7 linked regions of the Macaca mulatta genome follow. The protein of the gene in region 3 purifies or fractionates together with the protein of the main gene of each other region. This does not show direct contact. Links are inferred from orthologs where the notes say so. Each region holds a gene or a part of one and is shown on either strand. Other genes may lie near its edges.

What was found.
Region 1: the proteins of CDKN1B (region 3) and XPO1 purify together in Homo sapiens (affinity purification with western blotting; 4 studies listed by BioGRID). This does not show direct contact. The link is inferred for Macaca mulatta from reciprocal best matches to the Homo sapiens genes CDKN1B and XPO1.
Region 2: the proteins of CDKN1B (region 3) and CCNE2 purify together in Homo sapiens (co-immunoprecipitation; 5 studies listed by BioGRID and IntAct, with this or other methods). This does not show direct contact. The link is inferred for Macaca mulatta from reciprocal best matches to the Homo sapiens genes CDKN1B and CCNE2.
Region 4: the proteins of CDKN1B (region 3) and CCNB1 purify together in Homo sapiens (affinity purification with mass spectrometry; 5 studies listed by BioGRID and IntAct, with this or other methods). This does not show direct contact. The link is inferred for Macaca mulatta from reciprocal best matches to the Homo sapiens genes CDKN1B and CCNB1.
Region 5: the proteins of CDKN1B (region 3) and CCND3 purify together in Homo sapiens (affinity purification with western blotting; 9 studies listed by BioGRID and IntAct, counting the BioPlex papers as one, with this or other methods). This does not show direct contact. The link is inferred for Macaca mulatta from reciprocal best matches to the Homo sapiens genes CDKN1B and CCND3.
Region 6: the proteins of CDKN1B (region 3) and CDK6 purify together in Homo sapiens (affinity purification with western blotting; 8 studies listed by BioGRID and IntAct, counting the BioPlex papers as one, with this or other methods). This does not show direct contact. The link is inferred for Macaca mulatta from reciprocal best matches to the Homo sapiens genes CDKN1B and CDK6.
Region 7: the proteins of CDKN1B (region 3) and SPDYA purify together in Homo sapiens (affinity purification with western blotting; 3 studies listed by BioGRID). This does not show direct contact. The link is inferred for Macaca mulatta from reciprocal best matches to the Homo sapiens genes CDKN1B and SPDYA.

The regions. Positions count from the first base shown.
Region 1 is NC_133418.1:63,249,455-63,252,954, forward strand, and holds part of XPO1 (exportin-1), read left to right. Parts: intron 1-953; coding exon 954-1,122; intron 1,123-1,937; coding exon 1,938-2,072; intron 2,073-2,746; coding exon 2,747-2,906; intron 2,907-3,500. UniProt on the Homo sapiens protein: Mediates the nuclear export of cellular proteins (cargos) bearing a leucine-rich nuclear export signal (NES) and of RNAs.
Region 2 is NC_133413.1:105,279,625-105,283,124, reverse strand, and holds part of CCNE2 (G1/S-specific cyclin-E2), read left to right. Parts: intron 1-896; coding exon 897-1,043; intron 1,044-3,415; coding exon 3,416-3,500. UniProt on the Homo sapiens protein: Essential for the control of the cell cycle at the late G1 and early S phase.
Region 3 is NC_133416.1:15,138,590-15,142,623, forward strand, and holds the start of CDKN1B (cyclin-dependent kinase inhibitor 1B), read left to right. Parts: upstream 1-1,234; 5' UTR 1,235-1,712; coding exon 1,713-2,187; coding exon of another isoform or gene 2,188-2,211; intron 2,212-2,721; coding exon 2,722-2,843; 3' UTR 2,844-2,851; intron 2,852-4,034. UniProt on the Homo sapiens protein: Important regulator of cell cycle progression. Inhibits the kinase activity of CDK2 bound to cyclin A, but has little inhibitory activity on CDK2 bound to SPDYA. Involved in G1 arrest. Potent inhibitor of cyclin E- and cyclin A-CDK2 complexes.
Region 4 is NC_133411.1:77,232,276-77,236,494, forward strand, and holds the start of CCNB1 (G2/mitotic-specific cyclin-B1), read left to right. Parts: upstream 1-1,419; 5' UTR 1,420-1,589; coding exon 1,590-1,610; intron 1,611-2,237; coding exon 2,238-2,408; intron 2,409-2,502; coding exon 2,503-2,673; intron 2,674-4,219. UniProt on the Homo sapiens protein: Essential for the control of the cell cycle at the G2/M (mitosis) transition.
Region 5 is NC_133409.1:140,231,242-140,235,272, forward strand, and holds the start of CCND3 (G1/S-specific cyclin-D3), read left to right. Parts: upstream 1-1,231; 5' UTR 1,232-1,377; coding exon 1,378-1,575; intron 1,576-1,865; coding exon of another isoform or gene 1,866-2,075; intron 2,076-2,444; coding exon 2,445-2,660; intron 2,661-4,031. UniProt on the Homo sapiens protein: Regulatory component of the cyclin D3-CDK4 (DC) complex that phosphorylates and inhibits members of the retinoblastoma (RB) protein family including RB1 and regulates the cell-cycle during G(1)/S transition.
Region 6 is NC_133408.1:126,535,039-126,539,315, forward strand, and holds the start of CDK6 (cyclin-dependent kinase 6), read left to right. Parts: upstream 1-1,477; 5' UTR 1,478-1,603; intron 1,604-2,256; exon of another isoform or gene 2,257-3,051; intron 3,052-4,114; exon of another isoform or gene 4,115-4,276; intron 4,277-4,277. UniProt on the Homo sapiens protein: Serine/threonine-protein kinase involved in the control of the cell cycle and differentiation; promotes G1/S transition. Phosphorylates pRB/RB1 and NPM1.
Region 7 is NC_133418.1:96,143,769-96,147,268, forward strand, and holds part of SPDYA (speedy protein A), read right to left. Parts: intron 3,341-3,500; coding exon 3,169-3,340; intron 1-3,168. UniProt on the Homo sapiens protein: Regulates the G1/S phase transition of the cell cycle by binding and activating CDK1 and CDK2.

The sequences.
Region 1 (3,500 bases), on a different chromosome or scaffold from region 3:
AGGCCGGGCGCGGTGGCTCAAGCCTGTAATCCCAGCACTTTGGGAGGCCGAGACGGGCGAATCACGAGGTCAGGAGATCGAGACCATCCTGGCTAACACAGTGAAACCGCGTCTCTACTAAAAAAAATACAAAAAACTAGCCGGGCGAAGTGGCGAGCGCCTGTAGTCCCAGCTACCCGGGAGGCTGAGGCAGGAGAATGGCGTGAACCCGGGAGGCAGAGCTTGCAGTGAGCCGAGATCGCGCCACTGCACTCCAGCCTGGGTGACAGAGCGAGACTCTGTCTCAAAAAAAAAAAAAAAAAATACAAAAATGGCCAGGCGCGGTGGCCCATGCCTGTAATCCCAACAGTTGGGAGGCCGAGGCCGGTGGATTGCCTGAGATCAGGAGTTCAAGACCGCCCTGATCAACATGGTGAAACCCCGTCTCTACTAAAAAACAAAAATTAGCTACTCGGGAGGCTGAGGCAAGAGAATCGCTTGAACCCAGGAGGCGGAAGTTGCGGTGAGCTGAAATTGCACCACTGCACTCCAGCCTGGGCGACAGAGCAAGACTCTGTCTCCAAAAAAAAAAAAAAAGCGAGAGATAAAAGAAATGGTAAGTGGACACATTCACATGGTAACTTAAATTTTTTCGTAATCTGTAGTGGTGGTTTCAAATTAAAAACAAAAGTGATAGTAGTAGTGTTACGGTAATAATGGTTTTGATGAGTTCTCTATTAATAAGGATAGCTTTCTCTTTCAATTTGATAACTCATGTGCGTAACAGGGAACAGTTTCATTTTCCATGGGAGGTGGATTGTATTTTGTTTGGGTTTATCTTTCAGGAGGCATTATATCTTCTATGGTTTATTGAAAACTCCAAACATTTTTACTGGATTAAGCCTTGCTTTTCCCCTCCTGCTAGCACAGCGAAGACACTGAAACATTATTTTGTTTCCACCACTTATTTTTAGGACTTTGAAGAATATCCTGAACACAGAACGAACTTTTTCTTACTACTTCAGGCTGTCAATTCTCATTGTTTCCCAGCATTCCTTGCTATTCCACCTACACAGTTTAAACTTGTTTTGGATTCCATCATTTGGGCCTTCAAACATACTATGAGGAATGTCGCAGATACGGGTAAATAAATTTAAAAGATGTTCTTTTATTCATTTGCCTGTCAATCCAAAAATACAAATATAGATAGTTATATACTTGTACATAGGAAGGTATTACTTGTTCAGAGTTTTGAATGCATGAATTACATATATGAACATCTGAGAAAATCCTATAAGCAGTTTAATCAACTGTTCCACTGCACTCCAGGTGAGTCCATAGGCAGAATTGAGTTATGGGAGAGGGGCCTAGTAATAATTGGTTTATGTAATACCAAATTCTACTGAGTAGTGATGTTGTAGAAGTTCATACAGAATCAGCTAAGCTTTCAGAAATGGTGAAAGGGTGGTAATGGTCGTAACTTAGATTATAATTTTTCTCCATAGGCTTTTTTTTTTAATATTCACAAATTTTTTTTTTAATTTCAATAGTTTTGGGGCAACTGGTGATTACATGAATAAAGTCTTTAATGGTGATTTCTGAGATTTTGGTGCACCCATCAGCCGAGCAGTAGGAACTCTACCTTATGTGTAGTCTTATCCCTCACCCCCTCCCACCCTTCCCCACAAGTCCCCAAAGTCCATTATATGATCTTTATGCCTTTACATCTTCATAGTTTAGCTCTCACATAACTTAGATTATAATTTATAAGTAAGCCAGCATTGGATATAGTTGTACTCCATTATCAATTTAAGAAACCTTAGGCAAGTAATTATTAGTCATCATCCCCAAAAAAAGGGAGAATAGGGTTAGATTCAGAATACTTTGATAAGAGCTAAATACTATCATGAGTGCTGTCAGTCTGTAGTAACTTTCCATTGGTATTCTATGTCTTTTAGGCTTACAGATACTTTTTACACTCTTACAAAATGTTGCACAAGAAGAAGCTGCAGCTCAGAGTTTTTATCAAACTTATTTTTGTGATATTCTCCAGCATATCTTTTCTGTTGTGACAGACACTTCACATACTGCTGGTAAGAATTTAATACGTTTAAGATTTAAATGTTGGGCCGGGCGCGGTGGCTCAAGCCTGTAATCCCAGCACTTTGGGAGGCCGAGACGGGTGGATCACAAGGTCAGGAGATCGAGACCATCCTGGCTAACACAGTGAAACCCCGTCTCTACTAAAAAATACAAAAAACTAGCCGGGCGAGCTGGCGGGCGCCTGTGGTCCCAGCTACTCGGGAGGCTGAGGCAGGAGAATGGCGTGAACCCGGGAGGCGGAGCTTGCAGTGAGCTGAGATCAGGCCACTGCACTCCAGCCTGGGCGACAGAGCGAGACTCCGTCTCAAAAAAAAAAAAAAAGATTTAAATGTTAAGTGCCGGCCGGGCACGATGGCGCATGCCTGTAATGCCAGCACTTTGGGAGGTCGAGGCGGGGAGATCATGAGGTCAGGAGTTCGAGAACAGCCTGGCCACTATAAAAAAAATTAGCCGGGCATGGTGGCATGCGATTGCAATCCCACCTACTCGGGAGGCTGAGGCAGGAGAATGGCTTGGATCCGGGAGGCAGAGGTTGCAGTGAACTAAGATTGCACCACTGCACTCCAGCCTGGGTGACAGAGCGAGACTCTGCTCAAAAAAAAAAAACACTAAGATCTATGGTTATATTACATTTTGGAGTTAATAATTTTCTTCTTATCAACAGGTTTAACAATGCATGCATCAATTCTTGCATATATGTTTAATTTGGTTGAAGAAGGAAAAATAAGTACATCATTAAATCCTGGAAATCCAGTTAACAACCAAATCTTTCTTCAGGAATATGTGGCTAATCTCCTTAAGTCGGCCTTCCCTCACCTACAAGAGTAAATATGCCTTTTAATAAACGTAGAATGTTCCTGGTCGGGCACAGTGGCTCACACCTATAATCCCAGCACTCTGGGAAGTCTAAGATGGGAGGATTGCTTGGGCCCAAGAGTTGGAGACCAATCTAGACAACAAAACAAGATCCCGTCTCTACAAAAAAATGAGTCAGATGTGGTGGTGTGCATCTGTAGGGCCAGCTACTTGAGAGGCTGAGGCGAGAGGGTTGTTTGCATCCTGGAGTTTAAGACTACAGTGAGCTATGACCACGCCACTGCACACCAGCCCGGGTGACAGAGCGAGACCGTGCCTCTTTAAAAAAGCAAAAAAAAAAAAAAAAAAAGGCCACGCACAGTGGCTCATGCCTGTAGTCCCAGCACTTTGGGAGGCTGAGGTGGGTGAATCACAAGGTCAGGAGTTCAAGACCAGCCTGGCCAAGATGGTGAAACCCGTCTCTACTAAAAGTACAAAAAAATTAGTCGGGCATGGTGGCGGGTGCCTGTAATCCCAGCTACTTGGGAGGCTGAGGGACGGAATTGCTTGAACCCAGGAGGCAGAGGTTGCAGTGAGCCGAGAGCGCATCACTGCACCCCAGT
Region 2 (3,500 bases), on a different chromosome or scaffold from region 3:
GCCAGGCTGGTCTTGAACTGCTGACCTCAAGTGATCCGCCCGCCTTGGTCTCCCAAAGTGCTGGGATTACAGGTGTGAGCCATCGCACTCGGCCAGCAAATGAGATTTTCTTAACTTATTATTAGAAACTCAGGTGGCCAGGTGTGGTGCCTTATACCTGTAATGTCAGCATTTTGGGAGGCTGAGGCAGGCAGATCAGTTGAAGCCAGGAGTTCGAGACCAGCCTGGCCAACATGGCAAAATCCCATCTCTACTAAAAATACAAAAAATTAGCTGGGCATGGTGGCACATACCTGTAATCTCAGCCACTCAGGAGGCTGAGGTAGGAGAATCACCTGAAGCTGGGAGGCAGAAGTTGCAGTGAGCCACTGCACTCCAGCCTGGGTGACAAAGCGAGACCCTGTCTCCAAAAAAAAAAAAAAAAAAAAAAAAACTCTGGTATATATCTCTATTTCCTCACCTCCAAAATGGGGATAATGGTACCTACTTAAGGAGTTACTGTGAGAATTACAAGCTTTTCCTAAAAGTGTGGAAATGACAGATACTATTTATTATTATTATTAACAATAGTGAAACATCAGGGCAATTCCTATTAAAGTCAGAAACAAGGGATAAGATTTTATGACCAATGTTAAACGTTCAGTATCCTTCGATAATTTTTAACCAGTGCAGTAAAATATGAAAAATAAATGAGGTAAGAAAAACGATAAAACTAGTAAATGTGGATAGTAATAGATTTATCCTAATAACACATGTTAGTTTCTTTTTTTCCTTTCCTATCTTAGCTTTGCTATCAGTTTGGCTTAAACATATTTTAAAATCTGATATGCTGAGAGATGACTTTCTAATTTGAGAAATTCAGAGGATAATATTTAAATGTTTGGAATCTTCTCTAGGTATGTGAAGTATACACACTTCATAGGGAAACATTTTATCTTGCACAAGACTTTTTTGATAGATTTATGTTGACACAAAAGGATATAAATAAAAATATGCTTCAACTCATTGGAATTACCTCATTATTCATTGCTTCCAAACTTGAGGTAAGTTCTCAAAGTTTATCCTTAGATATATTTATCCCAAACTTTTTTTTTAATCAACGTATTAATCCCAAAGAATACTATGTCTTATATTAACTCCTTAGAAAAGTGAATGTTTTTGTTTCTCAGTACATTTTCTGAACATTATCACAGGGATAAATGATAAATTATCATAGTTCCCTCTGTAATGTCTGAGCCTTATTATAAATCTCTGGTTTAGATTCTGGGATTAGTATCTAAGTGAAATGTCCCATGGCTCATTCTGCCAAACGAAACATATTGATGCTCTATTTATATACATAATTATAGCATTTGTATTAAACAGAATGACCTTTGAAAACTAAACAGCTAATAAAATGAAATGAAATGAATACTGTGTTGGGTTAGAATAATGGTTTATCCAGCTTTTTTTTTTTTTTTTTTTTTTTTATTGAGACAAAGTCTCACTCTTTCACCCAGGCTGGAGTGTAATGGGATGATCTGGGTTCAGTACAACCTCTGCCTCCCGGGTTCAAGTGGTTCTCCTGCCTCAGCCTCCTGAGTAACTGGGATTACAGGCGCTTGCCACCACGCCCAGCTGATTTTTGTATTTTTAGTAGAGATGGGGTTTCACCATGTTGGCCAGGCTGGTCTTGAACTCCTGACTCAGGCGATCCACCCGCCTCAGCCTCCCAATGTGCTGGGACTACAGGTATGAGCCACCGCGCCTGGCCAGCCTAATATTTTTGTATCTCATGGTGCTGCCATGATAGAAGGCAACTCCTTTCTTAAGATTTTCCTTCGCATAAGCTCAATTTACGTTTCTTAATACGTGATGGATATCATCAATACTTTCACCTAAGACTTTTATAGCTGGTATCATTTTGAAAGAAGAGAGATTGTGATCATATATTAAGTGTTTTCCTTTTTCTTTTTAATGTCTTTTGAGCTTTAAGAGCCATCCCCAAATTCTGCTGAATTTGGCACATAAACTTGTGTTCAGTCTATCCTTACTTGAAATTATACTGTTTTAGACAACTTTCTAGACCGAAATCCTCATCTTTTAGCCTGTTCTCCTATGTGGGAGACACCTAATCCTTTGATGATTCTAATTCTTCTCTGGAGTGCTAAAACGGACCTGTTAGCCAAACTGCATGAAGTATTTTTTGACTAACCATATTTTTGTACTAGGGTAAAGGAAATGTTTTTAGTTTCTAGACCTTATTTGTTTGGTGCTTTGCTTTTGTTTTTTGAGACACGGTCTTGCTGTCACACAGGCTGGATGCAGTGGCACTATCACACCTCAGTACAGCCTTGACCTCCCAGGCTACAGCGATCCTCTCACCTCAGACTCTGGAATAGCTGACTACAGGGATGCACCACCATGCCTGGCTATTTTTTCTTGTAGAGACAGTGTTTCTCTTTGTTGCTCATGCTGATCTTAAATTCCTGGGCTCAGATGATTCTCCTACCTCGACCTCCCAAAGTGCTGGGATTATACGTGTGAGCTGCTGCACTGCACCCAGCAGGGTGTCTCCTTTTGATCTGACCAATGTATCAGGCAATCTTAAAACAAGTTTGGTTGTTCTTTAACTGAAATGACATACTCTAGTTGTGTTAATGAAAATTCAAAGTCAATTCTATGAAAAGAAGTCTTGATAATCAATATAGTTACTAGATACCTAGATATGAAAATGTCTTACTAAGTTTGACTATAGAATTATTTTACTGAGATTTACATTTACTTAGTGAAGCTGTCCTTAAATCTGAAGCTTGTGTGTGATTTGTATATAGATGGTCCCCTACTTACCATGGTTTGACCTACAATGTTTTGACTTTATGATGGTTGAAAACAACCTGCATTCATTATGCCCCTTGACATACAACAGGGCTATGTCTGCATAGGTTGAAAATACCGTAAGTTGAAAGTACACTTTCTGGCCAGGTGTGGTGGTTAATCCCAGCACTTTGGGAGGCCGAGGAGGGCAAATCATTTGCAGTCAGGAGTTCGAGACCAACCTGGCCTACATGGTGAAACCCTCTCTCTACTGAAAATACAAAAAATAGCTGGGCATAGTGGCACACACCTGTAATCCCAGCTACTGGGGAGGCTGAGACACAAGAATCACTTGAGCCTGGAAGGTGGAAGTTGCAGTGAGCCGAGACTGCACCACTGCACTCCAGCCTGAGTGACAGAGTAAGACTCTGCCTCAAAAAAAAAAAAAAAAAGAAAATGTACTTTTTAAATTTTTGCTTATTTCTCCAAGAAAATAAAAATGTACTTTCTACTTAAACGATATTTTGGTTTATTGGGATGTAACCCCATTGTAAACTGAGGAACATTTGTAATTAATTTCTATCTCAATTGTACTCAATAAAAAAATTACAATTTAAAGGAAATCTACGCTCCTAAACTCCAAGAGTTTGCTTACGTCACTGATGGTGCTTGCAGTGAAGAGGATATCTTAAGGATGGAACTCA
Region 3 (4,034 bases):
CACGGTGCTCAAGCCCACACTGAGAGAGAAATTTCCAGTTGCAAAAGGGAGAAGAGAAACGCTGGAATACTAGCATCGGACGTTAGGACATAGATGTGGTGGTTTTAAAAATCATTTCATCATCTGGAGTTTGACCCCGAGGGGAGTCTTTTCACTCTTCAGCCCTCTGAAAGCATTCACTAGCATCTGAATATTGTTCTGAGTTTGTTGGAGCAGTGAAATCTGGTGAGAGAGAAGGGTGGAGGAAGGAAGGAGCTGTTGTATTTGGCGGCTGGAGTCAGGTAGAGGAAACTGCTACAATCCCGGGAAAGAACAGAAAAGTAGAAAGAGAGGAGTTCCCACACGCAGCCAATGTCCATGGCCTTAACTGTGCTTGGGAAACAAGATCCTGGGCCAGGGGTGTTCCCTCGTTTTTCAAAACTAAATGTGTCTGAGACAGCTACAAAGTGTATTAAGGGACTTGAGAGACTACTTGAGTTTTTTTTTAATCTTGAGTTCCTTTCTTATTTTCATTGAGGGAGAGCTTGAGTTCATGATAAGTGCCGCGTCTACTCCTGGCTAATTTCTGAAAGAAAGACGTTCGCCTTGGCTTCTTTCCTAGGCCCCCAGCCTCCCCACGGATGGCAGAAACTTCTGGGTTAAGGCTGAGCGAACCATTGCCCACCGCCTCCACCCACCCCCAGCTAAGGCACGCCGGCAGGGGGGGCGCCCAGCCCCCCAGCAAACGCTCCGCGGCCTCCCCCGCAGACCGCGAGGTGGGGGCCATCGGGGAGGGCCGAGCTGGGGGCAGCTCGCCACCCCGGCTCCAAGCGAGCTGCCGGCGATCTTCGCGGTCCTCTGGTCCAGGCCCCGGCTTCCCCCGCGAGGAGCGGGAGGGAGGTCGGGGCTTAGGCGCCTTTGCGCACCCGCCAGTGCAGCGCCGGGCCCCGAACCCCAGGCCCCGCCCCAGGTTCCCGGCCGTTTGGCTAGTTTGTTTGTCTTAATTTTAATTTCTCCGAGGCCAGCCAGAGCAGGTTTGTTGGCAGCACTACCCCTCCAGCAGTCACGCGACCAGCCAATCTCCCGGCGGCGCTCGGGGAGGCGGCGCGCTCGGGAACGCGGGGAGGCGGCGGAACCGAGCCGGGGCCACCTTAAGGCCGCGCTCGCCAGCCTCGGCGGGGCGGCTCCCGGCGCCGCAACCAATGGATCTCCTCCTCTGTTTAAATAGACTCGCCGTGTCAATCATTTTCTTCTTCGTCAGCCTCCCTTCCACCGCCATATTGGGCCACTAAAAAAAGGGGGCTCGTCTTTTCGGGGTGTTTTTCTCCCCCTCCCCTGTCCCCGCTTGCTCACGGTTCCGCGACTCCGACGCCGGCAAGGTTTGGAGAGCGGCTGGGTTTGCGGGACCTGCGGGCTTGTACCCGCCCGGACTCGGACGGGCTTTGCCACCCTCTCCGCTTGCCTGGACCCCTCCCCTCCCCGCCCTCCCGCTCGCCGGTCCATTTGATCAGCGGAGATTCTCGGCGGCCGTGCCGGGGCTTCCCCGCAGCCCCTGCGCGCTCCTAGAGTTCGGGCCGTGGCTTGTCCGGATCTGTGTCTTTTGGCTCCGAGGCCAGTCGCTGGGCTTCCGAGAGGGGTCCGGGCTGCGTAGGGGCGTTTTGTTTTGTTCGGTTTTGTTTTGTTTTGTTTTTTTGAGAGTGCGAGAGAGGCGGTCGTGCAGACCCGGGAGAAAGATGTCAAACGTGCGAGTGTCTAACGGGAGCCCTAGCCTAGAGCGGATGGACGCCAGGCAGGCGGAGCACCCCAAGCCCTCGGCCTGCAGGAACCTCTTCGGCCCGGTGGACCACGAAGAGTTAACCCGGGACTTGGAGAAGCACTGCAGAGACATGGAAGAGGCGAGCCAGCGCAAGTGGAATTTCGATTTTCAGAATCACAGACCCCTAGAGGGCAAGTACGAGTGGCAAGAGGTGGAGAAGGGCAGCTTGCCTGAGTTCTACTATAGACCCCCGCGGGCCCCCAAAGGCGCCTGCAAGGTGCCGGCGCAGGAGAGCCAGGATGTCAGCGGGAGCCGCCCGGCGGCGCCTTTAATTGGGGCTCCGGCTAACCCTGAGGACACGCATTTGGTAGACCCAAAGACTGATCCGTCGGACAGCCAGACGGGGTTAGCGGAGCAGTGCGCAGGAATAAGGAAGCGACCTGCAACCGACGGTAATGACCCCTTCCCAACCGACGGTAATGACCCCTTCCCAACCACAGAAAGTCTGTGTCTGGGGCCCCGCTTTGCCTGCTGGAGGGTGCTAACCTTAGCTTGCTTTTCGGCGTATTCTGATTTAGCTTTGGGAGAGCGAACTTTATTGGTCTTAGGTGTTCAGTGCTACCTGGCCCACTGCTTGTCTGTGACTTTTAAGTCAGAAACTGGAAATGGTAAGATCCGATAATTTCCCTAACTTAAGACATCGCCGTCCCTCCCACTAGCAACCCCTAGGTATGTGACAAAGTTGGGATGTTTATCAACGGTCCGCCTCCTGGCTAGGGAGAGAGCTCTGGGGCGGAGAATGCACTTTCTTCTTTTTGAAAACAACCTCATTTTGTGTCCTTAAAGGCTACTGAGGATGACGGATCCTGGATTGTGGGTGGAGGGAGTGGGTTTTTCGTCCCGCGACTATTGGGCCAACTTCTGCCAGCCATTGTTTTTTCTAATAAAGATTGTGTGTTCTTTTTAAAAATTTCCTCTGCTCTTAGATTCTTCCACTCAAAACAAAAGAGCCAACAGAACAGAAGAAAATGTTTCAGACGGTTCCCCAAATGCCGGTTCTGTGGAGCAGACGCCCAAGAAGCCTGGCCTCAGAAGACGTCAAACGTAAACAGCTAGGTGGGTTGATCACTAAAGGAGCACGTACTGAAACCCGGGGCCATCAGACCTCACGATACCTGATCTTGCTGGTTGCTGGCAGATTACAATCTTTTGGGGTTTTGTTTTGTTTATACTTTCGTGAGGTCAAAAAAGTAGCAATGGGAAGGTTGGGGATACTGTAATTCTTCTATGCCTAGAGATACTTTCTCTTGAAACAGTAGACCAGAGCAACTACTTGTAACCAAGGCCCCATCGGGTAAGAAGGTCATTTCCCTGTGAGTCCCACTAAAACATGTTGGGAACAATAGGTTCTTCGCCCATCCGAACAAGAACTGGGGTACTCCCTCAGTCCCACTTCATGAGAATTCATTTCCCAGAGGTTCAGCTTGAGTCAGTAACAGATTTTGAGCCATACATGGAAAAATGGCAAGTACATTATTAAGTTTCAATTTTAAGGGGGAATGTTTGGTAGAAGTTGCTCACCTTTGGTTATGCAAGGGATTAGAGATGTCAGTGGGTGGTATGTTGTGTTCTTTGACATTTTCATAAACTGTCACTTTCCTTGTTTGCTCCTAAGTTTGGAGAGAGAAGGAACCAGTATTTGCAAAAACCAAAATGGAAAGATAAAAAACATTACTAAAGTTTCTACAGAATTTCTGGTAACACTGAAGTTGCAAAGCAGAAGTTAAATTAACTCTCGTCAGTAAGCAATCCAGGAACACGTCAGCCAGTGTATGCTAATTGTGCCGTAACAGGGTGATTTGGATATTTGTAGGGGAAATGGGTAGTAAATATCAAGACTGGTGACCGCAGGTCAGCCCAGCACAAAGGAAGTGGAGATTTTTCCATGCACAAGAATCTGATCACTGTAAATAGCTAATTTGAATAATTCAGTCCCCAAATGTACATGGATTGGCTATTCATAATGATCGAACTACATATATTAATAGTTTGTTAGCTTCTTATAGACCAAGACTGACCTCTTTATTTTCTAAAGCACACACGTAGCTTAGCATATGAGGCGATCTTAATATTGATGTTAACTTTTTAAATCCTCATTTATAAAAAATTTTAAAACAACAGGGATTACGGTGGGATTCAGGTGTGTTGTGTCTTTAAATTGTATATGTGACTTTACATATCTTATATTTTTCAGAGCTTATACAAAACGGCACTATAGAACCTCTATTTTATAGCACCA
Region 4 (4,219 bases), on a different chromosome or scaffold from region 3:
GAACCCAGGAGGCGGAGGTTGCAGTGAGTCGAGATCGCACCACTGCACTCCAGCCTGGGAGACAGATACAGGCTCCGTCTCAAAAAAAAAAAAAAAAAGTAAAAAAAAATTTTTTAAACTGGAACACAGAGGATAAGTAATCCTGCCTCACCCCTTGCCTCTCGCCCTTGCATGGGGCGAGGCAGGATTGATCAAACCCAGAAAGACTGAGGATGGATGCTGAACACAAAACTGAAGGATGAATGGGAATTACCTGAATAGAACAGGGGCTTGAGTGCAACAAGAGGCGGGCATTCCAGGCAGAGGAGAGCAATGGTAAGGGCCCCATGGTAGGCATCCGAGTAGGAGGGTAGAACTATGATGATAGAAGACTGAATAACGATCGAATGAAACCAAATGATTGGGCGCCTTCTTTCGGATCCTTGACTTCCAGGGCCAGCAGTCTCTATTGGCTCTTATACCGTTGCTCTATGAGGTATCAATGTTTTTGTCCTTCAGCCTCCCCTCCAATTGTTGAGCTCCTGGTGTGTTTTGAGGAGTAGAAGGCAAAAAGAACCCTCTTATTTTTCTTTGGATCCAGAGAGAGATTGAGCAAATAACAAAGCAAATGGTGTAAAATGTCTTTTTGTTTAGTTTTTCTTGATCTTCCCATGAGAGGCAAATACATGTTAAGGATAGTTGAATCTGGGTAAAGGGTACAGAAATGTTCCTTACAAGATTTTTGTTGGCAACTGGTGCAAGTATGAAATTATTTCCAAATAGGAAGCTAAAACACACAAAACAATTGGCCTTGGGAAACTGGCCAATCTTGAAGTAATGAAGTAATATTGTTAAGGGACAATCAGTATTGTGAAAACACGAATACGCCCCCTCCCTCCCCCTCAAAAAAAACCCCCTAAATTCTGTTCCCCCGTTGCTAATGTGTGATCCTGGCAAAGTCATCTAAGGCGCTGAGCTTCAGTTCCTCCACCCCAGAGAGTTGTTGCAACGATCAAATGAAAGAACGTATATCAAAGCCTTTCATGAACTATATTATTGCTGCTACCGTAGAAATGGAAAGTGTACAACAATAATTTGGACTAGATCCAAAACTACTTTTGACACTTCTGAGACTGTGGCCGCGCCACTGTCACCTTCCAAAGGTCACCAGGCCTTTCCTGAGCTGATATTGGCAGCGCACACTCTTGCCCGGCTCACCTTTCCAGGTGGGCGGTGCTCGCGCTGCTCGGCTCTCCAGGTGGCCGCGGCAGCTGCCCCAGAGCGCAGGCGCGGAGGCAGACCACGGGAGAGCCTGGCCACGCCTTCCGACCTAGCCTCACTCTGGCCCCGCCCCTCTCGAACGCCTTCGCGGGATCGCCCTGGAAACGCATTCTCCGGGACAGGCAGCCGCCAATGGGAAGGGAGTGAGTGCCACGAACAGGCCAATAAGGAGGGAGCAGTGCGGGGTTTAAACCTGAGGCTGGGCCTGCTCTTCCCGGCGTGCTGCGGAGGAACGGCTGTTGGTCTCTGCTGGGTGCAGGTCCTCGGCTGGTCGGGGCTCCGGTGTTCTGCTTCTCCCCGCTGAGCTGCTGCCTGGTGAAGAGGAAGCCATGGCGCTCCGAGTCACCAGGGTGAGCCGCTACGGACTGCGAACTGACGCGGCCTTCTTCGCTGCAGCCTGCTCGCTCTGCCTCGCCTGCGGGAGCCCCCCGAGCGGGAGAGGGCCGCAGGAACGATTTGGGGAGGAAGGTGGGAGGGAAGTCACCAAGAGAGCGTCGAGGTGGGCCCAGGCCTGGTGGGGGAGTGTGGGGGACGATGGATGGAGGGAGGAAGGTGAGAAAGAGAACTGGACCGATATTGGATAAATGTTTGGGGGAGATGGAAAGTCGACTGGGAACCTTTTGAAAAAGTGATAGAGGGTCCCTGAGTGGGCCCGCCAGCAGCTCTGTAACCCCCTTCCCAGAGAGAAGGTGTCTGCAATTGGAGGCTTTTTCGGTTTCCTTTCAAACGTAAATTCTCGGTATTTTAGGGCTGGGCAGGACTAATCAGGGAATCCCTCAATTGGTAAATGTAGAGGTTGTCGGCGGAAACTGACTTGTCACGGCCGCAGAGTAGACTCTGGGACCCACGTTTTCCCTCGGAACCCATTTTTACTCGGCTTTCCTTCTGGGAACTTCTCTTCTGCCCCACCTTAATTAACCCTTGACTTACTCGAGCCTCCGTGGACCAGCTCTTAAAGTGGTCTTTGCTTCTTTCAGAACTCGAAAATTAATGCTGAAAATAAGGCGAAGATCAGCATGGCAGGCGCAAAGCGCGTTCCTACGGCCCCTGCTGCAACCTCCAAGCCCGGATTGAGGCCAAGAACAGCTCTTGGGGACATTGGTAACAAAGTCAGTGAACAACTGCAGGCCAAAATGCCTATGAAGAAGGTAACTGTCTTCCCGACCTAACTTCTGTCAGAGCTGGCCTTACAACTGTGGCCTTTGATGCAGAAACATTTCATTCTCTCTGTTTCATCTACAGGAAGTAAAACCTTCAGCTACTGGAAAAGTTATTGATAAAAAACTACCAAAACCTCTTGAAAAGGTACCTATGCTGGTGCCAGTGCCAGTGTCTGAGCCAGTGCCACAGCCAGAACCTGAGCCAGAACCTGAGCCTGTTAAAGAAGAAAAACTTTCGCCTGAGCCTATTTTGGTAAACTTATTCTTACCATTGTAGAGTCTGTTGATTATTTCTTGTCCCTTATTTCACTGCAAGAGCATTCAAATTAATACCATTTATTGAGTGCTTAGCATGAGGCAATCTCTGCCCAACATTCTACATGCATTAACTCACATAATCTTTACAGGTACTCTGAGGTAGGTATTGTCACCTCTACTATTTAAATCATGGCTTTAGAGAGGTTATGTCAGGGTCACACAGGTAAGTGGCCCATATGAGATTTAAGCTCAGGCTGTCTGGCTTCAGAATCTATGCTTTTAATTGTTAACTGTCTTATATTCCTTCGTTAATGATATTAAGTAGTACCTGCCTGAGCCAAAGGCTTTGTTGTCCAAGTACAAGCCACCTCTGCAGAATTTATCGGAGTAAACAGAATGTTCTCTTAAAATTTTTTACTGCCTAATATGGCTACTAAATAATAAACCTGTAACACTGGAAAATGCAAAAGAGTAAAACAGGAAGAATGCAACTTTTCAGGGAGTGGTTAAGAAGATGAATTAACACTTAGCCTCAAAACCAGTAACTTTTTATTAAATAAAAGGTATGTAAATGTATCCTATGATAGACCTCCCTGTGAAGGAAAAGTAGGTCATGTAGAGGAGGCTGCTTTGATGAAACTGCAATGAACTGCATTCTGAAGCTCAGTTTTTTAAACTTAATTAAAACCAGTTGGGAAAATTATCTGAAAAAAAAATTTTTGAGACAGAGTCTGGCTCTGTTGCCCAGGCTGGAGTGTAGTGGTGTGATCTCGGCTCACTGCAACCTCTGCCTCCCAGGTTCAAGCAATTTTCCTGCCTCAGCCTCCCTAGTAGCTGGGATTACAGGCGCACAACACCACACCCAGCTAATTTTCATATTTTTAGTATAGATGAGGTTTCACCATGTTGGCCAGGCTGGTCTTGAACTCCTGACCTCGTGATCTGCCTACCTCGGCCTCCCAAAGTGCTGGGATTACAGGCGTGAGCCACCGCGCCCAGCCAGTTAAGCTTCTTATATCTAAGGATAAGACATTGAAAACTATTGCTTTAGTGTTGAATTTCTGGGCATAGCACATGAAACATGTAGCCAGCATGGTCTTTGGGCATATCAAACTACATGATGCTTTCTTGAAAGGTCCATACCGATTCTTACCTTTGCTTTCCCACTTAGTAAGAATGCCTTCCCCACCCTTTCATTTAGCTAATAACCTTTTCATCCTTGAAAACAGCTCAAGCATCAACTCCTGAAGCTTTCCTGAACTTCTCCCATCTCCACCCCTGTTCCTAGAATCAGTCTTTTTGTTTGTTTTGAGACAGTCTCATTCTGTTGCCCAGGCTGGAGTGCAGTGATGCCATCTCAGCTCACCGCAACCTCTGCCTCCTGAGTTCAAGCGATTCTCCTGCTTCAGCCTCCCAAGTAGCTGGGACTACAGGCACGTGCCACCATGCCTGGCTAATTTTTCTATTTTTAGTAGAGACGGGGTTTCACTATGTTGGCCAAGCTGGTCTCGAACTCCTGATCTCGTGATCCACCTGCCTCA
Region 5 (4,031 bases), on a different chromosome or scaffold from region 3:
AACCAAAAGTTTGGGAGGTGGAAGAAATGCAACCGGTAGATCTCAGAGTCTGTGGGAGAAACTGATTCAGTGAGAATCTAGTTTTTCCGTCCAGTTTCTCCAAACAGAAACTAAGGCCGACTTTAGGGGCTTGTCCAAAGCTGGGCAACCAACTTGACAAGGTGAGGAGGCCTTGACTCCATGGCCTTTCCGTTCTGTTATATGCTGATTTAGACTAAGGCTCTCATACTTTATTTTTTTTTTTTTATTTTTATTTTTTTTTTTTTGAGACGGAGTCTCGCTCTGTGGCCCAGGCTGGAGTGCAGTGGCGCGATCTCGGCTCACTGCAAGCTCCGCCTCCCGGGTTCACGCCATTCTCCTGCCTCAGCCTCCCGAGTAGCTGGGACTACAGGCGCCCACAACCGCGCCCGGCTAATTTTTTGTATTTTTAGTAGAGACGGGGTTTCACCGTGGTCTCGATCTCCTGACCTTGTGATCCGCCCGCCTCGGCCTCCCAAAGTGCTGGGATTACAGGCGTGAGCCACCGCGCCCGGCCCAGCTCTCATACTTTAAAGTGCACAGAAATCTAGTTAAAATGCAGATTCTGATTCAGGTTAGGGGTGGGCCTGAGAGTCTGCATTTCTAACCAGCTCCCAGGCGATGACCATGCACGGGACAGGTCTGGGATCACTGTTTAACTAGCAGTGGTGTAGAGCACAGAATCTGGAGCAAGAAGGCCAGATTCCCAATCCTAGCTCTGCCACGGGCCAACCGAATGACAGTTGCCTCGGTTTCCGAGTTTTCGTGAAGATGTAGTGAGTCATTACATTGTGAGGCTTTGGAGCAGTGTTCACTAAGAACTGACTCTGACATTATTTATCGCATTCCTTAGAGCAAGCAGCCGGTGAAGTAGGGTTTGACGAATGAATAAGTGAATGAATGACCTTTGGAGAAAAATTCTTTCCTGGGTGACTAGAGTCCGAGAAGCAAAATGGGAGGGCTCGTGGGTGGGTAGGAGGCCCACCTCCTAGAAAGTTCTCTGCACCCGGTGGTCCAGAGGGCCCGGAGTGCCCGGAAGCCGGCCGGCTTGCGCTCAGCGGCCCAATGGGGCCGCGGGAGGGAGGGGAGAGCGCCCAGCCAGCCCTTTCCGTCCGGGGCGCCGCAGCCCCGCCCCTCGGAGCGTTGCGACGTCCGAGCATTCCACGGTTGCTACATCGTCGCGAGGGGCGGGGCGCCTGTCAGGGAAGCGGCGCGCGCGGGCGGCGGGCGGGCTGGGGATCCGCCGCGCAGTGCCAGCGCCAGCGCCAGCGCCAGACCCGCTCTCCGCGCTCTCCGGCCCGTCGCCTGCCTTGAAACTCGCGAGCCCGCACTCCCGCCCTGCCTGTGCGCTGCCCGAGTATGGAGCTGCTGTGTTGCGAAGGCACCCGGCACGCGCCCCGGGCCGGGCCGGACCCGCGGCTACTCGGGGACCAGCGTGTCCTGCAGAGCCTGCTCCGCCTGGAGGAGCGCTACGTGCCCCGCGCCTCCTACTTCCAGTGCGTGCAGCGGGAGATAAAGCCGCACATGCGGAAGATGCTGGCTTACTGGATGCTGGAGGTACCGCCCGGACGCGTCCCCCTCCCCCACCGCTCCCGGGTCTGGACACACCGGGGCCGCCCTGTCGGGACATCGCGGTCCCCACAGCAATCTGCAGGATGCTCCGAGGCTAAGACCCCCGGGGCCTGGCCTTTCACTAGGGCACCCTAGCCAGCTGCCTCCCTTGCTTTCCCGAGCCCTAATCGGCTCCTCCCAACTGTGAGTGCCAGTCACTTGGCACCGTAACTGTGCCTCTCTTCGGGCCGAGAAAACGGGACCAGGGACATCGTCTCCCCTTCGGCTTCTCACAGCGTCTCCCACTTCCCTCCCCCTCCCGGCCTTCTCCGGAGAGCGCGCCTGGAAAACCCTGGGCTCGGCCGCCCCCGCCCGGGAGCCGGTTCCTGTGTCTGTCGCGGGGTTCTGGCGGGGAAGGCGATGGGGGTGGCGCGCGCCCTGTTCCGGCCGACAGGGAAATGAAAAGTGCGGGAGGCAGTGGCAGGAGCCTCCTCCCTTCCCTTCGGGTGTGTGCAGTGGTGGCGGTGATGGGGGTGAGGTCCCAGCTCTCTGGCTACCATGGGTGACCCTTGCGTCCCACTTCCCGTCGCTGTGGGGGAGGGGAGTCTCCGTTTGGAATCCTTCTTGAGGAAGGGCTCCTTGACTTTACCACCCCCACCCCACCAAGGGGAGAGGGGAGGAGGCCGCGCAGAGGAAGTGGGGGGCGTCACCTTGGGGAGGGCCCATCCTCCTCCTTTATTGGTCCTTGTCTCTGTAAGTAGCTTACCCTCTCTCCCGTTTTTGCTCCCTATCCCACCTCACTTCAGCGCCCCCACCCCCGCGCTGCTGTGTTCCCCACGCTCCGGCCCCAGCAGTGACTGTGCGCCCTCCCCCAGGTATGTGAGGAGCAGCGCTGTGAGGAGGAAGTCTTCCCCCTGGCCATGAACTACCTGGATCGCTACCTGTCCTGTGTCCCCACCCGAAAGGCGCAGTTGCAGCTCCTGGGTGCGGTCTGCATGCTGCTGGCCTCCAAGCTGCGCGAGACCACGCCCCTGACCATCGAAAAACTGTGCATCTACACCGACCACGCTGTCTCTCCCCGCCAGTTGCGGGTGCGTGTGTAACTCCCCCCACCCCCGACACATACTGTCTCCCCACTTTCCAGGAAAAGGAACGCTTGAGATATCAGAGGCTTTCTGCTCCCTGGAGAGGGCGCAAGGCGATCAGGACCTTTGGGAAGGGAATTAGGGTGGAACAAACGATGGGGCAGTGTGGTGTGATGGTTAGTATCACTCCCGCCTAGGCTCGAGCTGCAGTCAGGCATTAAACGCCCTCCTGACCTCCAGGGGATGCCACTCCTTCCTGGTCTTTCCCTCAGATAGCAACAAGTCAAACTGCATGTCTACACTCACTAGTACTTTGCCTCTGGGTTTACGCAGCCACCATGAGTTATTTATTGGCAGCAGAAGGGCATGCCTGCACACCCCCACTGGAGTAGGGGAGTGGAATGTGCTTCATGTGGGGGAGGGGGTTTGCCTTGGTTGAGTCTTTATCCTCATGTGGACTTTGTGATAGAAAAACCTCCCAGAGCCAATTAAAGCCAGGCTCTGATTGCTTTAAGGAAGGGCTGATGTATTTCATCCCACCTTCTTTGCTTCCTCTTATATCCCGGAAGAGACAGCTTCTTCCTAATCCTTTCCTGTCCTCATTCTGAGGAACTGGAGCAGCTGCTTTGGGCCTGGTGGAAACAGCTCCCTCTACCCCCCTTAGCCAAAGGCCCAAGCTGAGGGACAGGCAGGGAGGTGAGCTGCAGCTGCTTCCGATGTGATAATGGTGCCCCCTCCCCCGGCCCGCCCTCTCTGACCAAGGTCTTTCATAACCCTGTGGGGAGCTGCTGTCACTCCTGTGGTTTGGGAAGTGGCTCCCTGGGCCTCTTGCTGGAAACTTGGGCTGGGCTCAGACAGGGCAGGAAAGTCACCGGTTCTGTCCCGCCTCAGAAGGAGCCTCAGTCCCGGGCAGCTGCTGGATCTGGAAGAGGTTATTTAGGACATGCAGATTGTCTCCTAGGGGGCTGGGGGGAGAGGGTGGGTGAGCTGGCACTTTCTTCCACCTTGCTCTGTGGCGGGCCAAGTCTTCTGCTGACCCTGAGAGGAGTCTCTGGGCCCCATCTCCCAGGGAGGAGGGCAGCAAGCAGGCTGCTGTGATTGGCTGGCAGGGAAGCCAGGGTACTGGGGCCCCCGACTGCTGTGAGTCGAGGAACAGGATTCCTCTTCCTGCCAAGTAGCTCAGAGATGGGAGTAGGAGGCCAGAGTTGGGAATCCAGGAGACTCCACAGCTCTTTGTGATGAATCTGGTAGTTTTTGGCAAGTCTGAAGGTGGAGCTAGTTTCCAGGGCCAGAGAGCAAGATGTTTTTGGAGGGGTTGGGGCTGGAAGGTAGAAGGGGAACTTCCTTTTTGTGAAAAGATGGAGGTGGTGTGTGTGC
Region 6 (4,277 bases), on a different chromosome or scaffold from region 3:
ACTGGAAATGCATCAATTTTTTATTTCCCTAGCCTTACCTTATACTATAATATAGAATCAATTTTATAAAGGCAAAAATTTGATTTACTATGAGATCAGTAACATGGTTTTAAAGTCAAAAGATTTATAGAAGTAGTATGTCCAATTCAAACAGAATTTTGCCGGGTTTTAATTTTTCTACAAAGCACTGAAGTAAATAATTTTGTGAAAAGTTTTTCTTTAATATGTTTTAAAGGGTTTCAAGTATTCTACAGATAGAGATTTTGGGGAGAACACCAAATTCTTTCCAAAAAGACAGCTATTTCAAGTTTTCTTTTACTCCATTGTAGAAGGTTTTAAAGACTTTTTTTCTCCAAAAGCTCATTTTCACCTGAAATAATTGTATTCAAGGGTTTCTCAGCAGGTAAAGTATACATTCTTACAAGGTTTCAAATTTCAGATTTCCAATAATGCATTTAAACTGAGCACTCCTCTTTCTGTGTATGTATCTATTATCTGCAGTTCTATTATTTACACTAAATTTTAGTCTTTTTAGCTCCTCTGAAATACGTTAGTGAACCCTCAGCAGTTACTAACCACTTAATAATTGTGAACCCGCCAGCCCCTTCAAGTAGATCGTTAACCATAAGAGTGCCTGACAATTTCCAAACCATACCCTCTGTCTAAAAGGAAAAGATAGGGCTTTGTGAGGCAGAAAGGAAGCGAAGGAAAACAAAACAAATGTAGCTCATGCTGAAAGTGAAAAGTGCTTGAACAGATTAGTATTTTCTTTTCTGCAAGGCATCCTGCCAAACTTTTTCTTTATTTTTTTAAGAGAAGAGTTATTTTTTGGTCTGATTTTTCAGTTTCTTGGAAAGTATTGGTATTTACCACCCCCATCGGCCCTTCATAATTATTGTTAGTTGTTTTGTGTTTTTCCCATCCGTCCACGTCACACAGTGAGGATACCCCCTGCTTCACCCTGTCAAAACCCCAACTCTGGGCGACCCTGGGTTTGGAAACTCCGCCGACTCCCGACGACACGTCCCACTCTCTCCCACTAACGCCGCTTATTTTAGTCGCAGGATCCCCCTACTACAGTTTCAGTGAAAGCCGGAAATTTTCATTTAACTCCCCTGCCCCCCCAACCCCCCCGCCCCGCGCCTTTCTAGCCCCCGACTCGTAGAAGGGAGCTAGGGAGCCCGGAGCTCGGAGCACTGCCGGGGCTTGGCCGCCTCCTTTCTCTCCGGAAGGCTTTAATTTGCACACTTTCTTGCCACTGCGCCACGAGCCCCCAGCCTCGCCGCTGGGTGGGTCTCCGGCAGAGTTGGCTTCTCGGGTCCCTGCCCCCACCCCGCGCGGTCGCCCCCGCTGCCTCCCTGGCTGGGGCCCCCAGCGCCGGCCAGAGCCCCGCGGCCCCCGTCCGCCCCCAGCTAGCGGCGCGGGCGGCGCCCTCCGCCTTCCCTCCGCCCTCCGCCGCTGTGCCCACCCCCTCGCCGGAGAGAGTGCTGGTAACTCCTTCCCCAGAGTCTGATTACCTGCTCCGCGAGGCCGCGGACACGTGCGGAGAGCCGACTGACACTCGCAGCCCCCTCAGGAGGCCCGACGCGACTGGGCCCCTCAGGTGAGGAGCTGTGCGCTCGGGTGGGTGGGCTGCGGGGTGGGGGGTCCCTGGGGAGATATGGGGGATTGGCCGGGGTCCGAGGCAGAACTGTGGGTGGGGTAAGTGGAGGCTGGCGGGGGGTGGGGGGGACCTGTGTTTCCCTGGAATCGGCTTTGGTTAACCCCTTACGAACTGAGACGGCGTTGGTTATGGGGGCCAGTTTTGGGGAGCTAGAGGATTCTAATCTGACGAGAGGGGGAGATCCTACGCTAGGGACACCCGCGACACCGAGATCCTGCTTCCACGTACCCGTGCGCACACACACTCACACAGAACACTCCTCATCCAGTTTCTCCAAACGGAACTGGAACTCTACTCGGACATTCACATAATAATTCACATTTAGGGTTCAAAATGCACTGCCTCTAGGGACTCCATGCTGGAGAATGTGCTTGCATTTCCCCCACGAAAACTCCCTCGCCAGCTCGCTGAGGTGTGGGTGTGGGCTCCACCTTCCCCTCCACGAGATAAATGTTAACGCAGGCTTCCTGCGGGCGTGTTATGCACAGAAGAGTGCACGCAGCCGGCCGGTGCCCAGGCTTGGAGCCCCACGAAGACGCACGTTTGCTTTAGTTTCCAAGTTTACTTTTATCATTTAAAATATTGGAGTTAAACACACGCCCCGTGGTGAGCAGCCCTTGTCCCCGCAGGGCGCCCGTCCGTGTGCATATGGGCGCATCTGCGTGTGCGCACACGCGGGAGTCGCGGTCCCCGGTGTGGCCTCTTGTTGCCGTGCTGGTGGCGACCCTTGTGGTGCTTGGCAGGCTTCGGGAGAGGCGCATGAAGGATTTCATTGAGTGTGAAGACAGAGAGCAGAGACAGAAAGCAGAAGGAGGCGGCTGCAGCCTTTGTAGTCGCGGAGGAATGCGGAAATGTTGAAGCACTATGTCAAACTTTTTTTGAAATGGGGTCAAGTCACATTCAGCCAGCGTGGGAAAGCAACAACAACAACAAAAAAAAAGTGGAGGAGAGGGGGGGAAAAGGCATTGCTGCTCCCGTTTCTCTCCGCCGAAGCCGACCGTCTGGGGGGCGAGTGGGGGGAGAGTCAGGGTAGTGCGGGGCCCGGCGGGGGCAGCAGGCGAAGTTCCCTGCGGGGGTGGGACGTCCCCGACGCTTCCTTCGCTGCGGAGCCCGGGGCTAGACTCGAGCGGGAGGGGGATGGGGGGACGCAGGAGAGGCGGGTTGGGCGGCCGGCGGCGGCTCCCCGGCTACCTGTGTGGCCCTCGACCTGGCTCAGACGCCCGGGCAGTCCTTGGGGGCTCTTTCCTCGGCTTTTAAGGAAAGTTCTGAATGGAGTGAGTGCCAGAAGCACTGCTTTCGCCGCGGTCCGCTCCACGCGCTCATCGTGGGGGTCGCGCCGTTTGTTTAATTCCTGGCAAAAGGCGAGCGGGGCAGCGGTTGCGAGGCAGGTAATTCCGAGGTGCCCCGGGAATTCCGGACACGCGGCCAGCGTGGTGAAAGTCCTGCCGAGGCCGCGGCGGCCGTGGGGGAGGGAGGCTCCCTAGGTCCCAGATAGCTGCTGAATGGGGAGGGAAAGTTAGGGTACCCTTCTCCGGCGCTTTGTTATGCAGAGGGCTCCGGGGGCGTCCGGCTGCAGCCTGGACCCGGCCTTTAGCCGGAGAGGGAATGGGGCAGCCACCTCCGCTACCTACAGCGGGGTGGTCCTGGGAGTGGGAAAAGGTTCGCGAGTCCGGGCCCCGAGGGCAGAGACCTTGTTTCTCACCCCTGGAGGCGCAGGGTTTAACCCCCCACCCCCCACCCTTTGAAAGAGAGGTTGAGTTTTGCTCAGGTCGAAATCAATTTAAAACTTCAGGACGAGGCGCGATTAAGCTATCCTCTTCCTGAAATTATTCTTTAAGAAGACGACAAGCGAAATTGTGACGAACACCCCTTTCTCCCACCCTTGGGATCCCGTGGGGGACAGTGTCTCCCCTCCCCCAGGACCTCTCGTTCGCCCACCCCCGATTAGCCCCAACCCTCCCCGACCAGATGGCTGGTCTTCCCAAGGTTTCCACCAGGGAGGTCCTCCCAGTCGGAGAGAGAATTCCGTTTCCAACCGAGACTCCTTTACCCCAAAGAGACCATTTGTGTATGCGAGTCGTTTTTAAATGTCTCCTCGTAGAAAAACTGAAAGTAGAAAGAAAGGAAGCAATTTCTGAGCAGATGTCTGACCACCCCTTCTCGCACACTCACAGCATCGGGTTACAGGGTCCTGGGAGCCCCCACCCACATTCTGCGGCCCCACACGGATGGACCCACAGTCCTTCCGCTCCAGCTTGTGCGCGACCCTTGAACGCCCTCCGGCACCCCTGGACCCCATCTCCCTGCACGTCCGGGCCTCAGGAGGCGGGGAGGGTAGCGACGCAACACAATGATATAGGGATAAATATTAAGCCGTGACATTGACGTGCCCGGCGCCTCCCCTCCCCCGCGCTCCCGGCACACTCTGGGCTGCTCGGCACGCCCCCTCCCGTTCCACTGCGTCCCGCGCCGCTCGCTCATCCCCGAGGGGCCCCTGCAACCTCTCCGCGCGAAGACGGCTTCAGCCCTGCAGGGAAAGAAAAGTAACTTCGCTTTTCTCGGAGGAACCAGGAAGGATTAAGCGGCTTGGGAGAGGGCAGGAGCGCGCGGAGGG
Region 7 (3,500 bases), on a different chromosome or scaffold from region 3:
ATATAACAGGTTCAAAGAGAATGGAAAGAACAGAAGTAGAGACAGAATACAAGCAATTCTTCAAGGAGTTTAGTTATAAGGAAGGCAAAGCAGAGAAATGTAGTGGTAGCTGGGGGATAAAGTTTTCGTTTTTATTTTTATTGATGGATATCTTAGAGCAATTCTATATTCTGATGGCAGTGATCCAATAAAATAAAAAATGTGAAATGCTGGAAAGGGGACAATTACTGGAATGTGATGTCCTTGAGAAAGCAAGAAAAAATGAGATCTAGTGCACAAGTAGAGGGAATGGACTGGGATAGGAGCAAAGATCATTCTTTCACAATAACAAAGGGAAGGCAGAATATAGGGGTATGCATGTAGGTAGGATGGACGATAAGATGTGAGCATGTGGACAGTCTGTTCTGCTTCTGTTTTCTCAGTAAAAGAGAATAATGCGTGATTGTTGTAATTGAAGTGTGAGGACAGAGATGGGAGATATTAGAAGTGTACTAGATTTTTCACTTCATTACATTTACAGTTTATTGTTTAGACAATAGATAAGCAAATAAATAATTACAAATTTTATTCAGTGCTACAGAAAGAAACAAAGTATTGTGATAAGGATAATGGAATTAAATTCATTTAAATAAGGTGACCTTTTTGAAGAGGAAAAATAAGTTCCATTAATATTTTTTTAAATGTTGCTAAATTTTAAAATTATGAAAAAGCATTAGGAATAATATAACAAACATTCATATCCCTATTGCCTGTAATTAATAGATGTAATACTGCTATTATTGTTCAAGCCTTTTTTATTTTTATTTTTTGGGACAGGGTCTTGCTCTGTTGCTGAGGCTGGAGTGCAGTGGCATAATCATGGCTCACTGCAGCCTGAATCTCCTGGGCTCAGGTGATTCTCACACCACAGCCTCTCAAGTAGCTAGAACTACAAGTGTGCACCACCACACCTACGTAATTTTTTGTATTTTTTGTGGAGATGGTGTTTTGCCATGTTACCCAGGCTGGTCTTGAACTCCTGACTCAAGCGATCCAGGCCACCTTAGCCTCCAAAAGTGCTGGGATTACAGATGTGAGCTACCATGCCTGGCTGCCATTTTTAAATTAAAAGAAATAATATAGTTTCTGGTAGATACTTACTAAGTGCTCACTAAGTCAATGTATATTAATGAGTAAGTTAATTCTATCAAATTTTAAGATTTGCAAGTATATAAACTAGCCCACATTTATCATATTTTTCTGAACTAATACTACAGCTTACAGTGACCACTGCTTTCCATTTAATTTTCTACTCTAGAATTTTTCTGTAGTTTGAAATATTGACTTTATTAAAAATCAGAACATTTGGCCGGGCGTGGTGGCTCAAGCCTGTAATCCCAGCACTTTGGGAGGCCGAGACGGGCGGATCACGAGGTCAGGAGATCGAGACCATCTTGGCTAACACAGTGAAACCCCGTCTCTACTAAAAAATACAAAAAACTAGCCGGGCGAGGTGGCGGGCGCCTGTAGTTCCAGCTACTCGGGAGGCTGAGGCAGGAGAATGGCGTAAACCCGGGAGGCGGAGCTTGCAGTGAGCTGAGATCCGGCCACTGCACTCCAGCCTGGGCGACAGAGCGAGACTTCGTCTCAAAAAAAAAAAAAAAAAAAAAAAAAAAATCAGAACATCTGATAAAATAACTTGATTATTAAATTTTTAGTGTCCTGCTGATTTATCCTAATAAGATTTAGCATCAAGGAAACAATATATTCTATGTGAAAAGAGTTATGATTTAAAAAAAAATTTAAATTGTATACCATTTAATACACATGTTAAATAGTGTTTCAATTTTGGGAACCTGAAATTTCACATACTTTATTGAGCAGAAATTGTTATTCAACTCCAGTGTTATTCTAATCCTAAATAAGATATTTTGGTCTGTTCATATCACCCTTTTTCAATATATTGATGATCCTTTAGACAGAAGAAATACACTAAAATAAAAGCACTTACTATAAGCCGGGCGTGGTGGCTCACGCCTGTAATCCCAGCACTTTGGGAGGCTGAGGCAGGTGGATCACGAGGTCAGGAGATCGAGACCATCCTGGCTAACATGGTGAAACCCTGTCTCTACTAAAAATACAAAACATTAGCCGGGCATGGTGGCGGGTGCCTGTAGTCCCAGCTACTCGGGAGGCTGAGGCAGGAGAATGGTGTGAACCCGGGAGACGGAGGTTGCAGTGAGCTGAGATTGCAGCACTGCACTCCAGCCTGGGCGAAAGAGCGAGACTCTGTCTCAAAAAAAAAAAAAAAAAAAAAAGTACGTACTATAGAAGTAGGCTGCTCTGAAAAATAGAAATAACAATTTTTTGTTTGTTTGTTTTTGAGATGGAGTCTTGCTCTGTTGCCCAGGCTGGAGTACAGTGGACCATCTCAGCTTACCGCAACCTCCGCCTCCTGGGTTTAAGTGATTCTCCTGCCTCAGCCTCCCAAGTAGCTGGGATTACAGGCATCGGCCACCCCATTTGGCTAATTTTTGTATTTTTCTTTTTCTTTTTCTTTTTTGAGACAGAGTCTCACTCTGTCGCCCAGGCTGGAGTGCAGTGGTGCAATCTATGCTCACTGTAAGCTCCGCCTCCTGGGTTTACACCATTCTCCTGCCTCAGCCTCCCGAGTAGGTGGGACTACAGGTGTCCGCCACCACGCTCGGCTAATTTTTTTGCATTTTTAGTAGAGACGGGGTTTCACTATGTTAGTCAAGATGGTCTCAATCTCCTGACCTCGTTATCTGCCCGCCTCGGCCTCCCAAAGTGCTGGGATTACAGGCATGAGCCACTGCACCCAGCCTAATTTTTGTATTTTTAGTAGAGATGGGGTTTCACCATATTGGCCAGGCTGGTCTCAAACTCCTGACCTCAGGAGATCCACCTGCCTCAGCCTCCCAAAGTGCTGGGACTACAGCCGTGAGCACGGCTTACCTGGATGACAGTTTTTAGTTATGGTGATAACAAGACAGCAACATTGTAATACACAAGTTGTATTCATGGCAATGATCAATGGTCTACTCTACATATTAAAAAAAAAAAAAAAACCCAGAATACCAAAACATTAGAAGCACATTTAAAAAACAAGGATAATTAGATAAACAGAAAACAAAAATTACATATGTAAAGTTTTTTTAAAATTCTTACCTCCTCACAACATCGCCTGCTTACAATAGCCCTATAGTCAATTCTATCCCAGAGCTGGTCCCTTAACTTTAAGAAATTAGGGAACAATTTTCTCCAGTTTTTCCCTAAAGCCCATGGAAAAATTTCATACTTGGTTTCTTCTTCATCTTCTTCAACTGTATTAGCCAGATACCTAACAAAGAAGATCACAACCCAAAAAAGAAATGGGTAAAGGACAGAAACAGGTAGTTCACACACACCAAAAGACATAAAAATGGCTTATAAACACATGAAAGGTGTTTAACGTTACTTAAAGAAATGCAGTTCAAAAATAGAGATTCAGTTAATTTTAC